Drosophila melanogaster: one gene and its partners. The protein of the gene in region 1 interacts with the protein of each later gene in a pairwise test. Each region holds a gene or a part of one and is shown in the gene's direction. Other genes may lie near its edges.

Region 1 (3,936 bases):
AAAAATTTTTTTTTAATGCACCGTGTATAACAGTGCTACAACTTATACGCTCCCAACATATTATACTACTGTTAAATACAACTGTTAACAGATCTAATAGAATTGCTATTTGGTAAAACTCGCATTTTGGCAGCTACACAAACATGGCCCATTAGCTCAGTTGGTTAGAGCGTCGTGCTAATAACGCGAAGGTCGCGGGTTCGATCCCCTCATGGGCCAGAATAATTTTTTTTTTATTACATTTCTAATGCACTTTGAAAATTAAAAAGTTAGTATAGATTTGATGAGAACGTGTCCCGCAAGCTTTTTGTACAAACCTAGATAAGCGAAGCCCAATTATGGACGGCTGCTAATGTTATCTCATGCCGTGCATGCTAGGACAGTGAGTATCCTGCGATGATGTCACATAAAGCCGACAAGGATGATCTAACGTGGTCTATTTCTCGCAAGGCGGCTGAGTGAAATGTCAATTCAATTTACCATCAAGGATGATTGAATTTCCCGTCCCTTTAGCCGACCAACTTCTCCGCGTGTGAGGTATCTTAATTTGCTTTGGCAATCAAGCTAAACGGTTTATTGAACGATCTTATCTTCGCAACGAGTTGAAAATGCTTTTAGACAATATAATGGCAAACAGAGAACATCCTAATTTATTGGTTCAACGCCCCATTTTGTATATACTTTTATGACACTAGATTTTGGGCGTTTGCGGAATCAAGTGTCAGGATGGCCGAGCGGTCTAAGGCGCCAGACTCAAGATTGAAAATCTTACTTTCTGAACGAAAGTGTTTGTGAATGAGCGTTCTGGTCCTCTTTGAGGGCGTGGGTTCGAATCCCACTTCTGACAAATATTTTTTTAAGCCCACAGAAATTAGCAATGATTTGACAAACAATGCAAAATTAATAAATAATCAAATATATATTTGCGTATACTTTTGAAAGATCTCTCTTTTGGGTTCACCTATATAAATACGTGACCAATAAATAAAATGGTAACAAATACATTTGCCATTGTATTAAATTAATATATAAATTCGTGACATATTTTTAGCAGGAAAACGAAAAACGAAAAACGAAAACTATCGTAGTAGCATTGAAACATATAGTGTCAAATTTAGTTCTTATCAATCCCTGAATCCAGATTTCAGTCAGGTTAAAAAAGTTGTATATTTTTATATCAATATAAGCCATGTCGGAAGAGCAGCCATCGAGCTCGTTGCTCAAGCCCATTCTAATCATGAAGGATATCGAATTGGACGGAGCAGGTGATGGCATCGGTAAGGAGTCCTCGAAGACAAAGAAGCATGTAACCTTCAACCGGATGGTGGAGTATTATACCTACTCGGAAACTTTGACCAGCTGGAAGAGGCGCCTTATGTCCGACAACGACTTGGTAGGTACTGAAACACCACAGACATGAATTCCCCATTGATACGGTCTGTGGGCTTTTCAGCGCCAGAGCATGCCGACCGAGTCGAAAACTTGCTTTACAAAGCACTAGGCCAATTTATGACTCCGGCCCACCCACATTGCCCATATTGAAGAACCAATACTGAACAGGAACGAAACGCTGGCGGAAGTTGTTAAACTGAACGTGACACTTTTAACCTAATTGGCAAATAAACGAGAGCCCGAGTCCTGCCAGCGAAGCGGATGTGGACTTGTCCGTTGTTTTTAATGCATTTTCCGTGTCCTGCGATGGGGAACGAAGTCGAGCAAATGACCAATGAGTTATTCATGATTTGTACCTACATTTCTATATTTTTTGTTCGTATATTAAAAGCATAAGCTAGTGCAGAGTGGTTACGTCTATTTTGGCCTTCATGCTCATTCAAAGCACGTAAGTGGTCATGCAATTTACAACGCTTTTTGCGCACCGAACGGAAGAAGTAATCTGTATTTGAAATATTTACAATTGGTAAGGCCCAGTCAATAGCTGGAGAGAACAGAGAATGGATTATAGCCAGATTAAGACGTCAAAACAAGCATTCCTACGATAAGTCTAAGCCCAGCAACTGACCTATCCCACCTATCTCACGGCTAACTAATCAATAACCAGTCGGTAATTAAAAGCACCCATATTCTCCTGCCAGCACCTGGAGACAATTGCCGGATGATGGGCCTTTTGGGTAATCAGCGATTGATACGAATGAAATATGGCCGTGTCATTTGACAACCTTATCCGCACGCGGGCAATGCCCAATCTGTGGCTATAAAAGGCCACCCATCGCAGTTAGTTAGCCATCCAAGGTTGAACCGCAAACATGTCCCTACTAATAGCAACTTTCTTAGCCCTGCTGGCCCTCACGAATGGCGCAGTCATTCCCATTGGCCTGGAACCACAAACATCATCGCTAGGTGGCCGGATTGTTGGAGGCACAGCCTCTTCCATTGAGGATCGTCCCTGGCAGGTTTCTCTGCAGCGTTCCGGAAGTCATTTCTGCGGTGGATCCATCATCAGCAACAACATCATCGTGACCGCCGCCCATTGCCTGGACACTCCGACCACGGTCTCCAATCTCCGGATAAGGGCTGGCTCCAATAAGCGAACCTATGGTGGCGTTCTCGTCGAGGTGGCTGCCATCAAGGCACATGAGGCATACAACTCCAACAGCAAGATTAACGACATTGGAGTGGTGCGTCTGAAGACTAAGCTGACCTTTGGCTCGACCATCAAGGCCATTACGATGGCCAGTGCGACGCCGGCTCACGGATCAGCAGCTAGCATCTCAGGCTGGGGCAAGACCTCCACCGATGGCCCCTCGTCAGCGACGCTGCTCTTTGTGGACACGAGAATTGTGGGCCGTTCGCAGTGTGGCAGTTCCACTTACGGATATGGTTCCTTCATCAAAGCAACCATGATCTGTGCAGCGGCGACGAACAAGGATGCATGCCAGGGTGATTCTGGTGGACCTCTGGTATCCGGAGGCCAACTGGTGGGCGTCGTCTCCTGGGGACGAGATTGCGCCGTCGCCAATTATCCCGGCGTGTATGCCAACATTGCCGAACTGAGAGATTGGGTCCTTCAGGCCCAGAAGACTGTCTAGCTTTAGTTAAGCACAATAAAATCGCACTCATAGTACGTATAGTTAAACTGCAGCTGGCAGGGCTTTTATTTCAACTGCTGCTTCCGCTCATTTACTGCTCAACAGCAGTGACTTCTGAATCCAGTCCCCAGAGCCATACATGCGGCAGCAGGACGTGCCCTTCCTGTGGGCCACGCCGCTCGTTTGGCTCATGCAATCTGGGTCAGTCCACAGGGGTTGGCTGCCGGGTGGGGCCTTCAATTCTGGCGGGGCACAGGGGCGGCAAGCCCATGGTAAGCCAGTTACAGCGTTTGCATACTAAAGTCGGGTGACATATCTGTGACATGGCTGCGAATGACATGTAAAATCTCTGTCTATTCCATTTACACGCTTTTGTATTACTAAAAATTAAAGTTATGTATGCCATTTATTTAAATATTCAAATTTTTTTAGTTCATTTGCTGGAACATTTTTTTTTTGCTAATGGTTTAACTTCCTCACTGATAGTTTAGTTTGAAATTCCTTTGAGTTCCCGTTTATGCACTGCATGTGCACTTAAAATTTGCTATCTCTATTGTTTCTAATCGGTTTAAGCGTTTTACAACTTTTGATTGTCGTCATTTAAATAACCAATTTATGGCTAACAATAAATTTTGAATGCAAAAGTGCCTGTCAATGACGTGCAAACATTCTGTTTACTTTTTGTAATTGCTCTTTTAAAGCTTTTTTAATTGTATATCAGCGGAAAAGTTGGTGCACAATGTACAAAAAAAAAAAAACTGTTGTAAATTATTAATTATACTAAAAACAGGCTATAATTTTTCATAACAATATATTGTATATCAACTGACAAAAGCGCGCCATACTTTAAGTAGTTAAGTGGAACCGAAAACTCCCTTGACCTTCCACA
Region 2 (5,406 bases), on another chromosome or scaffold:
ATGACGACCAATCCGATACTGAGTGCATTCGCACCATGCAGATGAATGCCAAGACGTTGAATCTACCATTCGAAATCGTCATCCAGGGACCGAGCAGCAATCGCTTTGTGCGCAACGCACAGCAGTTCGAGCAGAAGCGAGATCTGGTGGCCAGGAGCGCCAGCACTTCAATGCAGTCGCCTCGAAATCGTCGCTCAAACATAACCATCTACAAGCCCTCCACAAAGTTGGTCATTCAACGTACGGCCAATGGCTTAGAAACGCCATCCAAGGCTTCGGAGCAGATAAGGCACAAGAGGTCCGTCGATCACCTGGAGTGGTTCAATGACTTTGCCAGTTCCTTGGTGCGTCCCTCGCCACTGGGCACTAGAGCCCAGAAGCAGCAGCGTGCATCAGCCAAGCCATCGGCATTCAAGCGTCAGGCTGAGCTGGAGGAGCCGGCTCGTCGGGAACCATGGTTCCTGGAGCAGTCAGCTTCGCGACTGACTCGCCCCGCTCCACTTAAGAAGGATGCACTCTCGCGGAAGAACAAGAAGAGTCCTTTGTTCCGAAAGAGCGCCAAGAGCAAGGCGTCCAAGGAGCAGTCGCGCAAGCAACCGGAGCGAGAGATTCGGCCACTCCGCGATGCCTTGCAGGTGGTGGAGCGGATACCCAAGGTGCTTCAAGATACGGTCAGTCATCTGTCCTCCGATCCACGCACTGGGGATGTCTTTAGCCTGAATATTAGAAACGAGGATGTGCCGCAGAAAAAGGATCGCCAGCCTGAGGATCGTGTGCCACGCAGGCCTAGCGCCACCTTCCGTGGTTTCCGGCGCAATGAGATCATCCCCGAAGCCGTCACCCTGGCTGCCCCAATGGACCTTGCCCCACGAGCTCCACTTCCCGGCCAGCGTCCAGGTGGACTCCTGCTGCCCTGGCTGAGGCAGCGGCGACTGATGCGTTTGCAGCAGGCACAGGGAAATCTGTAGACCCAACATACCCAATTTACTTTCACTTTTATTATTATAATCATTTGTTGTATATTTATAAGGCATTTTGGTCTCTCAAAAATAAATATAAATTTGCACATTATAGTGTTCTGCAGTAGCAGCGAAGATAGAAGCGTTCGAAATTAAAGTATCTGAAGTAGTAAGATCTTTATGTACCTGTAACAATATGAAGGCGTTCTTAAAGATCGTTTTCCAATGAGTCATTATAGTATTCACACACGCAGGTAGAAGTTTGGTAGGTTAGACAGGTTTCTATAGAACTCCATTCTTCAGTTTCCCTATTATTTCAATTGGATCTCGAATCGAATCTCAAAGATACATCTATTCTACTGATGATCTAGTATAATAATGATAATTTGAAGAAGGAGTATTGGTGTTACATGGATTGTGGATTGATAACAAGTTACTATACTATGCTTAGGAATATTTTGCCTGAATAGAAAACCCTTGCGATCTATCTTACAGATGCCATAGATTTCGGAGTATCTAAGTAGCATACTTTCGGGCGCGGGTGCTATCTGCCGTTGGCTCCTCTCTCTCTTCGGGCAGCTCCATCACGCTCTGTGGCGACGCGTCGTCCGATTTGTTGGCAACAGGCGCTGCCGCGTCAGTTCAGTTCAGTCCGTCGCGTTCGTTCATCTCCAGTGGTCGTCGCTGTTCCGCTGCAACAGGTAGTTAAAAAGACATAGCCCGATTGGTAAAAGGTGCATTACCCGCTGGAAGCCCCACAAATAGGATGCGCGCGGTAGGGGGGTGCCCTTGAGTTCTAGATGCACAGAAAGATACATGCACGCAGATACAGATACAGATACAGATATAGCCATTGGCAGAGGGAGAAAAGCGCTTTCTTTGCGTTTGGTTAAATATTACAAAAATCGAGTGAGAGGAAGCGGGAGAGCGAGAGTGAGACAAAGAAAGAGTAATTTAAAAAAAAACAAAGAGTGCATGTTTCCATTTAATTTACATAGTTTTGCTTCAGTGTGTGACGAAAAACAAAATACAACTTAGTAAGCTAAGTAATTTGAAAATCAAAGCAAGGAGTGCAAAGGCAAAGTAGCTTAACGAAAAAAACAATAGGCAGCCAAAGATCAACGGTCGCTATCTCATATCTAGTATCTTGTATCTGAAAGATGTGTGTGTGTGTGTTTGGGTACTTCGAGAACGAGAATCTGGCGCTCAACTAAAAAAAAAAAGAAAAAAAAAAAACCAACTGCATCAATTGGCAATTGGTATAATCAATTAGAAATTGATTTGCGACGGAGTGATCTTCAACCAGTGATGATTTGATTGATGTAGGAAGTGGACAAGTCTGATTGATATGGCTAATCGCTGCACTTGTTGCACTATCGAAAACTAAAGTTATAACAAAATGTTTTTATTTCGTACCCTGTACTGGGGCGAATCAATTTCTTTTGCTCTGATAAATGAAATCATGTAATAAACTGACGTTCTGTACGAACCTTATCATGCCATATAAACAAAAACAATGGCATACTCACAGTGATAGTGGCTCTTACTAAAGAAAAACGACATACAGACACCCGCACATGGCAACGAATAACTACAAACAGCTTTATTTCGGCACCGATTGCCTTTATCTTCCGCAATTTGTGTGATAAGTTCAGCAAACTGTTTTCCATATCTGTGGTTTTTTCGGAGGAGGATAATCACGCGACGTCTGGCAGATAATCCACTCCATCCATATTCAAGTAATTGAAGGCACCGCCGATTAGAGACATACTCTACTCTGAATCATTAATAGTTACAAGACTTTAAAAGCGTGTCTAACAACTGACACATCGATTCACAAAAAGCTCCATAAAGAAAAAAAAAACTCATTCGAATCCATTTACAGAATGACTCAGTGGCGGTGAAATCCAGCAAACACACATCCATCGCAGCCAACCAACCCATCAAACATCACAGCCAAGCAAACCAATTATGGAGTTTGCCCGCCGAGTTTCCGCTCGCTTTGAAACCAAAAGACTGCCGGAGGATGTGGACGATGGCCTGGAGACGCTGGAGGAGTACAAGCAGCGCTGGCGCTCCGTCCGCATCATCTACTTTACGATGTTTCTGATGGCGCTTGGCTTCAGCATCATACTCACAGGCATTTGGCCCTACCTCAACAAGGTGCGTACCCATTTTGGTCACGCTATCCAGCTGCTTTTCAATCTCATCTCTCTTCAGCTAGATCCCGATGCGGGCAAGGAGTTTATGGGACTGATTGTGGCCGCCAATCCGCTGGGACAAATGATCTTCAGTCCGATCTTTGGGTGGTGGGGCAACAAGCTGGGCAAGATTCGTCTGCCACTGCTGCTATCGCTGTCTCTATTCACGCTGGCCAGTGGCATATACTCCTCGCTGGAACTGCGTCCGGACAATGTGAAGTACTGGATGCTCTCCTCGCGGTTCCTCATCGGTGTCAGCTCGGCGAATATTGCCCTGTGCCGCTCCTATTTGTCCGCTGCGACACGAATCAGCGAACGCACACATGCCGTTGCAATGGTTTCGCTGGCACAGGTCCTTGGATTCATCATTGGTCCAACTCTGCAGGCGGCAGTCACACCGCTGGGAGATCAGGGACACGTCTGGCTGTGGGGCAAGATGCACTTCAACATGTACACGGCATCCGGATGGATCAATGTGCTGATGAGCATTGGAAACTTCATGATGTTCCTGCCCGGAGTGTTTGAGGTGAGTGGCCAGGTTACTTGGTTCGCTCTAAAGTGTCATTAAATTTGAACACTCCTTCAGGAGCACAAAATTGCAGCTCGCGAGGTGATGGTGATGCAGGGCGGCACATCCGAGAAGGAGACTTGGAAAGGCATCAAGCCCAGCTATTTATCCGCATGGACTTTGATCGTCGCCTTCTTTGTTCTGGTATTCAACTTTGTGCTGTTGGAGACGTGAGTAATCCTCAGAGTGGGTTTTTTTTTTTTTAAACTATTGCTTCCTCGCCTTGCAGTCTGGGCACATCCCTGACAATGGATATGTTCGCTTGGTCCAACGACGAGGCCCTATGGTACATGGGCATCATGATGACCACCGCAGCTATTGTCTCCCTGGTCACGTTCGTTTTGATTGAGCCCATGTGCAAGATTATAGCCGAGCGTTATGTGCTCATCTGGGGCGGATTCTCGCTGATGTTTCTCGGTCGCGTGCTCTTCGTGCCTTGGGGTCCGGATCCGCCAAAGTTGGCGCAGCCATTCAATGCCAGCTGGAACCTAAGCGAAAGCGATCCCATCTTCTTGGGCTGCCCCACAACGCAGAAATGGTGCGGCGAACTGCCGGCCTTGACCTTAACGCAGTTCATCATTGGATTTGCCTTCACATCGATAGGATATCCCATTGGGGTGACTCTCATCCAGACCATATTCTCCAAAGTTCTGGGACCTCGGCCGCAGGGCGTCTGGATGGGCTGGATGACCGGTTCGGGTTGTCTGTCCCGCGTCCTTGGTCCAGTCTTCGTGGGATCCATCTACACGCGCCTAGGTACGTTCTGGACCTTCGGCGTTACTTCGGCCATGATGCTGGTCTCCATGTTTTGGCTACAGTGCAGCAAGTAAGCTGAAATACTATTCGTTTTTAAGGCGGTTCCCCACAATAAATAACATGTTATCTTTTCAGTCGATTACTAATCCCGCCAACATTCGAAAAGACCACACCTGTCGAGCTGAAAGAACTGAACAAGCACAATGGTAGCAAGCTGCTGGACGACCACTCACCGGACACGCACAATGGTAGCCCACCGGAAGATCTGTCTCCTGATCAGCCCATTTTGGGCAAGCACGGCAGCCAGCACTCGATTTCACATGCGTAACGACGGCTGGCTATGGAGCATCCGTAGATCTAAGACACATCGTTGCAATACTGCCCCTTAAACTAGCTTTAAAATACAGTGTTTATTTTTGCACAGTTTCGACTGATTATGCGTTTATTGGTACTACGGTTGAATGTGTAGAGGTTGCACGTCGTTGTCTAGTTCTTTTTTTTTTTTGGCGTGTTTTGCATATAGGGAGGATGCTTAAACACGTATTTCCATCTTCTTGTTTAAGTGTACGAGTAATGGTTAGTTTGGGTTTAGTAACATGTATGTGGTTTACCAAGGCGGCAGCCACAGTTGTGAAATTGTCGTCGGCATCAGCATGTGCTGCTGGTGTGCTTGGTGGTGATGGTAGTAGGCCGCCGCTGGCGACCAGCAGAGCAGCCAGCAGTCCACAGGCGCCGTTCTTCGATTGCTGGTCGTGTGGTAGAATGTGTGACCCATTGGCAGGGGCATGGGTAGTGCAACCGCTACTCAGCTGCTGCCGTGATAGTAAAACTCATCTCAGTAGGGCGCATATCTGCGACCCGGCGGCGATGGACCGCGCATTCCGCGCGACGAAATCATGCGTTCGTCGAATGCATCGCGACT
Region 3 (5,307 bases), on another chromosome or scaffold:
GAATGAATGCAAGCCAACAGTTGGCACTCTGTTTTATGTGTTTTTTTTTGTTATTGCGGTGTCCCTTGCTTCTTCTTGCTATCTCCCTTTTTCCTTTTATCTGCCTGCAGCTGCACTCATAGTTGTTGTTTCTGCTATCCTAGGTAAACCTTCGCAGGTAACGGGGGTTGCTTATGTGTGTTCGCTCGTGCTCACATTGAATGGCAATTGGAGAGAGTAAAAAAGAGAAGCAAAAATTACTCATTCAACTTTGTTATTGCTTCGACTGCTTGTTTTTGTTGCTCTACGCCAAGCGCGTTGCTGCATGTCGCGTGCGTGTGACGTCACGATCGCCAATTGGGGTGGCACGAGTTTAATTCAATGGTGAAATATTGAAAAAACAGAGTGGATCCTATTATAATATTACAAAATTATTTTTAAAATATTTAATTTGAAAGTGGACAGAAACTGTTGGCAACCAAAATTTAAACTATATATCATTTTTTAGAGTGGACCAAAATTATATTTTATTATTATATTTTGAATTTCATATTGTTCATTTTCAGCAAGAGGAGTATTCGGGAGCGCCTGTCCAGTGCCTGATTCCCGGAACGAATCAGTGGGCGCTCATTGGGGTCTCCTCCTGGCGGATCGCGTGCGGACCCACGGGCGTGGAGCGGCCCAGGATGTACGACAAGATCGCCTCGAATGCCGCCTGGATCCGCGAGACGATCAGCGCGATATAGTCGGGATAGTTCACCAGGGGGCGGCGGCACGCCCCTCAGCGCATTTGTGTAGAAAACGGAACCGAAACTCACTGGGTATTATGTGTGTGTGTAGCAAAGCAAGTAAGGCAATTAAGCATATGTACTATGTAACTAACCTGCTCTAATGTTACTCGAACCTATGTAACTCTATGCTAACTGTATTCTTTAAACGTCCTTTTTTTTGCTGTTTTGTGTAATATTTATTAACTATGTTGTAATTGTATGTTAAACATGTCGAAAAGGAAGCAAATTTAGTTGTTAGTCTGTACGTTTAGCTGTTTGTAGAAAGATATTGTTGAATAAAATGAAATCGTCCAAAATCAAGATAATGGCTTTACTGGGGGTATACCACAATTAGGTGGACACGTGCATGGATTTCCATTTCCCATCCTTCTGAAGGCGGTACTGCACCCGGTCTGCGATTTGGTCGAGACCCACCTTCAGGAAGTCCCAACGCTGCGGTTGGAATTTCCAAGCGGTACTAGAAGAAGTTGTAATTATGTATATGTTAATTTACTAAATATAGATATACATATAAACTTCGAAACTCACTAGCTTGCTGGTCTCTCGATGGATTTTCCTCTGTGATCCAGAAGGAACTGATCGTGCTTTGCCTTGAGATCATCGTAGTTAATCGGTTCTCCACAGGGACAGATGTGACCCCTGATTTGGGCAGCCAAATTCTCCTTCGCCCACAAAGCATCCATTTCGCTTTGGTCAAGTTCCACGGCGGTGGCTCCAATCAATCTCACCTGCCAGGCATTCTGATTTCCGGCCTTATCCTTAACATCTGGCATATAGAAGGTGATGCAGGCCTTGGGATTGGCCTGAAGGTTCTTGAAGTTGCGAACGTACCGATGGGTGATGTAGAACACACAGTTATCCTGGGTGAGTCCGCGGTACAGAACAGTGCGGTTGAGCACACCGAATTCCTCGTCCACGGTGGCCAGGTTCATTTCCTGTATGAATCCATCGGGATGTCCCTTGGCAGCTTCCTGAAGGATCTCCTTAAAAAATTCAACGGGATCGGAGGGAAAGTCCTCGATTTTGGCCAAAGAGGAGGTCATATTGGTGGGTCCTTGAAGCGAAAAATATTCTTATACATTTTGAAAATGTAATACACATTTAATGTTAATTGGTAAAGCCCCTTATAACTGAAGTAATGTACTGTCATTCAAATTTGGCGCACTTTGCGCGCTGTTAACGCTAACAGCACTGTAACAGAAGCGCAGTACTTTGCAGCGGTTCTATAATCGATAGCCGTTGATTTCACGTTATATTTGCGAAGCTATCGGTTACTATCGATACATAGAAACGAAACAAATTCTCCCAATTTTCGGCTGAAAACGAGGAACACCAACTCGCGATTCTGGGGCGGCAGAACGGGAAATCCCGCCGAGGAGCAGCATGACCTCCATTCTGGACATGAAGGCCGGTCCGCCCGACTACTGGGCGGAGATCAGCAACTTCTTTCTGCCGCTGAAATACCTGATCACCAACGACCGCTTCGATTCGATGGTGCGGGACATAGACCTCTATTACCTGATCAACGGGGTCTTTTGGATATTCGTGGCGTTGTCTTGCGGCTACTACGCCTTCCAGCGGCTCTTCCAGGTGGGTCCAGCACGTGGCAAATCCTTTCAATCGCAGCACCCTCGACGCGGCGCCTCCAATTGCACTTTTCTTTTGAGGGGTTGCTCGGCCAATTTGCCGTTTATAAATAAACAGAGCGGACACGGTGCCGGATTCGCGCATTCCGGGGGTGGACGGGGTGCCAACCGAGTGGGGCGCTAAAAATACTGTTACCAACCCTTTGAAAAGCTTCAAAACACAACGAAATGCGGCACTTTTTGTATTGTTTTGGCTTGCAACTAAGCTGTAAATGATTATTATTTAAATATGTTGTCTCTTGTAAAATCAATATAAGGCGAAGATAGTATTGATTTTACTCCCGACAGTCATTGTTTAAGGGATTCAGATGTACTTCCTTCCCCATTCGGTTGGCACTTCGCTCCTGGCTTTGGTGATAGCATAAGTCCGGTGACAGTCGACCCATCGGCGCTGACCATAAGCCATATAAACCATTATCTGTAGTGACCCAAGACCAATGCTCGACTAATTGCTCCTCTCCCTTTTCAGTTCTTTCTGAAGTCGTCGAGCATGAAGCACTTTCAGCGGAGGCTGTTCGCCCGCGTCATTTGGAACATCGCCTTCTATGCGGCCAGCTGCCTGTTCCTGCACTTCTACAACGAGTTCATGATCCTGCCGCAGCTGATGAAGAACCAAGGACGCTACTCGCTCTTCTACTCCTCGGAGAACCTGATCTTCTATCGATCTCATCAGGCGGAAAAGTTTCAGTTCTACTCGATCTTCATTATCACGTTCTACCTGCATGGGGCGTGGTTGGACTTCAAGGACGCTGACTTCCTGGAGGTGGGCTCCAAGGGACTCTACCTGCTGTCCCTCGTCGCCATCGATGTTTACAGGCAAGTCGAGACACGTTTGGTCCCTACCATTCTAGCCTGGAGCCATTTAAGCTCGAAAATATTAAATACTCTTTATTTTTAGGTACGAAAACTACTTTGTGGGCCTGAATCTAACGGTGGGTCTGTACAGCATACTCACCGAGGTGCTAGCCCTGTTGGTCCTGCCCAGCACCAATTCACACCGGATCATCTACCAGGTTTTCCTCGGTCTGCGCATCATGGTGTGGGCGTATGTGTTTGTCAACCTACTGCCCTTTAAGTACTTCATACCCACGCTGTTCGCCAAGAACTTTAAGCTTTCCCTGAATGTGCCCATTTGGTTGTGGTACGGCCTCTCCATTTGGAACTCGCCGGTGCTGCAATACTTCTACCATCAGATATATCACACAGCGCCGTCGGATTGTTCGGGCGAGGGATCGGCGGCTAAGTGCATCCTGGTCAAGGACACCAGTGAGTTCCGGCACTACAAGACACTGAAGAAGGCCTATTTGGAGGTAAAGCTGGCACACATTAGAACCACGTCCAATTCGCTGCCCTCCGAAACCAGTTCGGCCTCGGCCAAAACCTTTCAGGCCATAAAATGTAAGCTTCCTGCACTAACCGATGTTGAATATCTGATTAACAATCATTTTCCCTGGCAGGCGTCATGATGCTTAAGCGCAAATTGAAGCGAATTCGCGAGGGACGTGGCCATGAGCCGGAGGATGACAACGATGACCAGGCCATTGATACCTAATCGCGTCCTACCGCACGGACGCAGCACACTTTTACACAGTAGAAAACCACATTTCCTTAAACCAAACCAAAAAAGACACAAGTTCAGCTTAGGCTAATAACTCACAAAGTTGAAACTAGCGCTCTCTCTCTCTCTCTCACTCAGGCTGATTTCGGTTTATGCGTGTTAGCTAGAACGCGATCAGCGCGAACAGTGCGTTTTGGCCAACATTCAGATCGTAATCAAAAAATAGGAATATTTAACACTTGAAAATTTGTAAATTTGTCAACGTTTTTGTTGTAAAGACTTTAAAAATATCAGTTGGTAGCTTTTAATCAAAAATTATTTAAATATCTCAACGATTCAAATATACGCGTTAAGAACATAACAACTAAAGGTTGTCAAAATTAAAACATGAATATAAACGATAAATCAAACGTGCAGATAATCTCAAAGGCTATATACGCAAAAATCGAAAAGTGAGGCTTACAAAATTAATCTCCTAGAAGTATTTAAAATAATGTTATATATCTTTAAAACGTCGAATTCGACTGTTGCCAAACGCACTGTTCTAATAGTACTTATTCGATAATAAACCACAGTGCGTTTCGATGCGAGCAATACAACAATTGACGCACTGTTGTCACTAGTTAACAATTATTTATAAAAACTCTAGATCAATATTAAATGTAATATCTACCAATCACGATTTAGACAGCACGCATAAACCAAGCGGCTGAAAGACCTTAGCAAATTTAGTTAGTATCGCTCGATTTTTGGCGCCAACGGAGATCGTCGCTGATGATATATATACATATAGTTACTATATCTCTATACCAACTCTCTCTCTCTCTCTCTCCCTCGCACACACGATCGCAGTTTCTCTCTCGTTTAGATTTGTAAGTCGCCTTCAACTTATTGTTGTTGTTTATTCGCTGTGACTTAATGACATATTGAAATATTGTAATGTGTTGTTTTTTTTTTCGTTCTTTTAATTGAAATATACTATATATGGGCTAAACGAGCGCAATTGAAATGTGTGTGTGTGTTGTTGTTGTTGTTACTGGGTTGGTTGCATTCGTTTGTTTTATTCACTTCTTAGCTCTCCCATCGTGGCTGAAATATTATATTATATTATTAATGTTCTTGCTTTATTTGATATTTGAAAAGAATTCTCTAGTTAAATTTCGGTTTCTCATTTGGTTTTAGGTTTCGCGTTTCTTCCTTCGAAACTTTGTTTTTGATATCCTTGCAATCGTACGTTCTCAACATGAATTCTCATTTGCTCATTTCATAATCGGAATCGATTTTAGAACTGTTTAATTGTACAACATATTTACGTATTAGGTCTGTAAACTAA

What was found.
Region 2: the proteins of Ser8 (region 1) and Cln7 interact in a two-hybrid assay, tested with the Drosophila melanogaster proteins (one large-scale study listed by BioGRID).
Region 3: the proteins of Ser8 (region 1) and CG1636 interact in a two-hybrid assay, tested with the Drosophila melanogaster proteins (one large-scale study listed by BioGRID).

What each region holds. Positions count from the first base shown.
Region 1 is NT_033778.4:13,431,948-13,435,883, forward strand, and holds Ser8 (Ser8), read left to right. Parts: upstream 1-2,259; 5' UTR 2,260-2,264; coding exon 2,265-3,047; 3' UTR 3,048-3,098; downstream 3,099-3,936. Other genes in the region: CG30065 (uncharacterized protein), read left to right, coding at 1,190-1,393, 1,454-1,501.
Region 2 is NT_037436.4:7,341,384-7,346,789, reverse strand, and holds Cln7 (Cln7), read left to right. Parts: upstream 1-1,606; 5' UTR 1,607-1,660; intron 1,661-2,405; exon of another isoform or gene 2,406-2,698; intron 2,699-2,844; 5' UTR 2,845-2,930; coding exon 2,931-3,122; intron 3,123-3,179; coding exon 3,180-3,686; intron 3,687-3,746; coding exon 3,747-3,898; intron 3,899-3,957; coding exon 3,958-4,554; intron 4,555-4,619; coding exon 4,620-4,812; 3' UTR 4,813-4,906; downstream 4,907-5,406. Other genes in the region: CG14834 (uncharacterized protein), read left to right, coding at 1-968; lark, read right to left, coding at 5,320-5,406.
Region 3 is NC_004354.4:8,271,395-8,276,701, forward strand, and holds CG1636 (uncharacterized protein), read left to right. Parts: upstream 1-2,017; 5' UTR 2,018-2,153; coding exon 2,154-2,360; exon of another isoform or gene 2,361-2,412; intron 2,413-2,885; coding exon 2,886-3,232; intron 3,233-3,314; coding exon 3,315-3,814; intron 3,815-3,873; coding exon 3,874-3,968; 3' UTR 3,969-4,807; downstream 4,808-5,307. Other genes in the region: CG1632 (uncharacterized protein), read left to right, coding at 546-725; CG15343 (uncharacterized protein), read right to left, coding at 1,101-1,227, 1,299-1,813.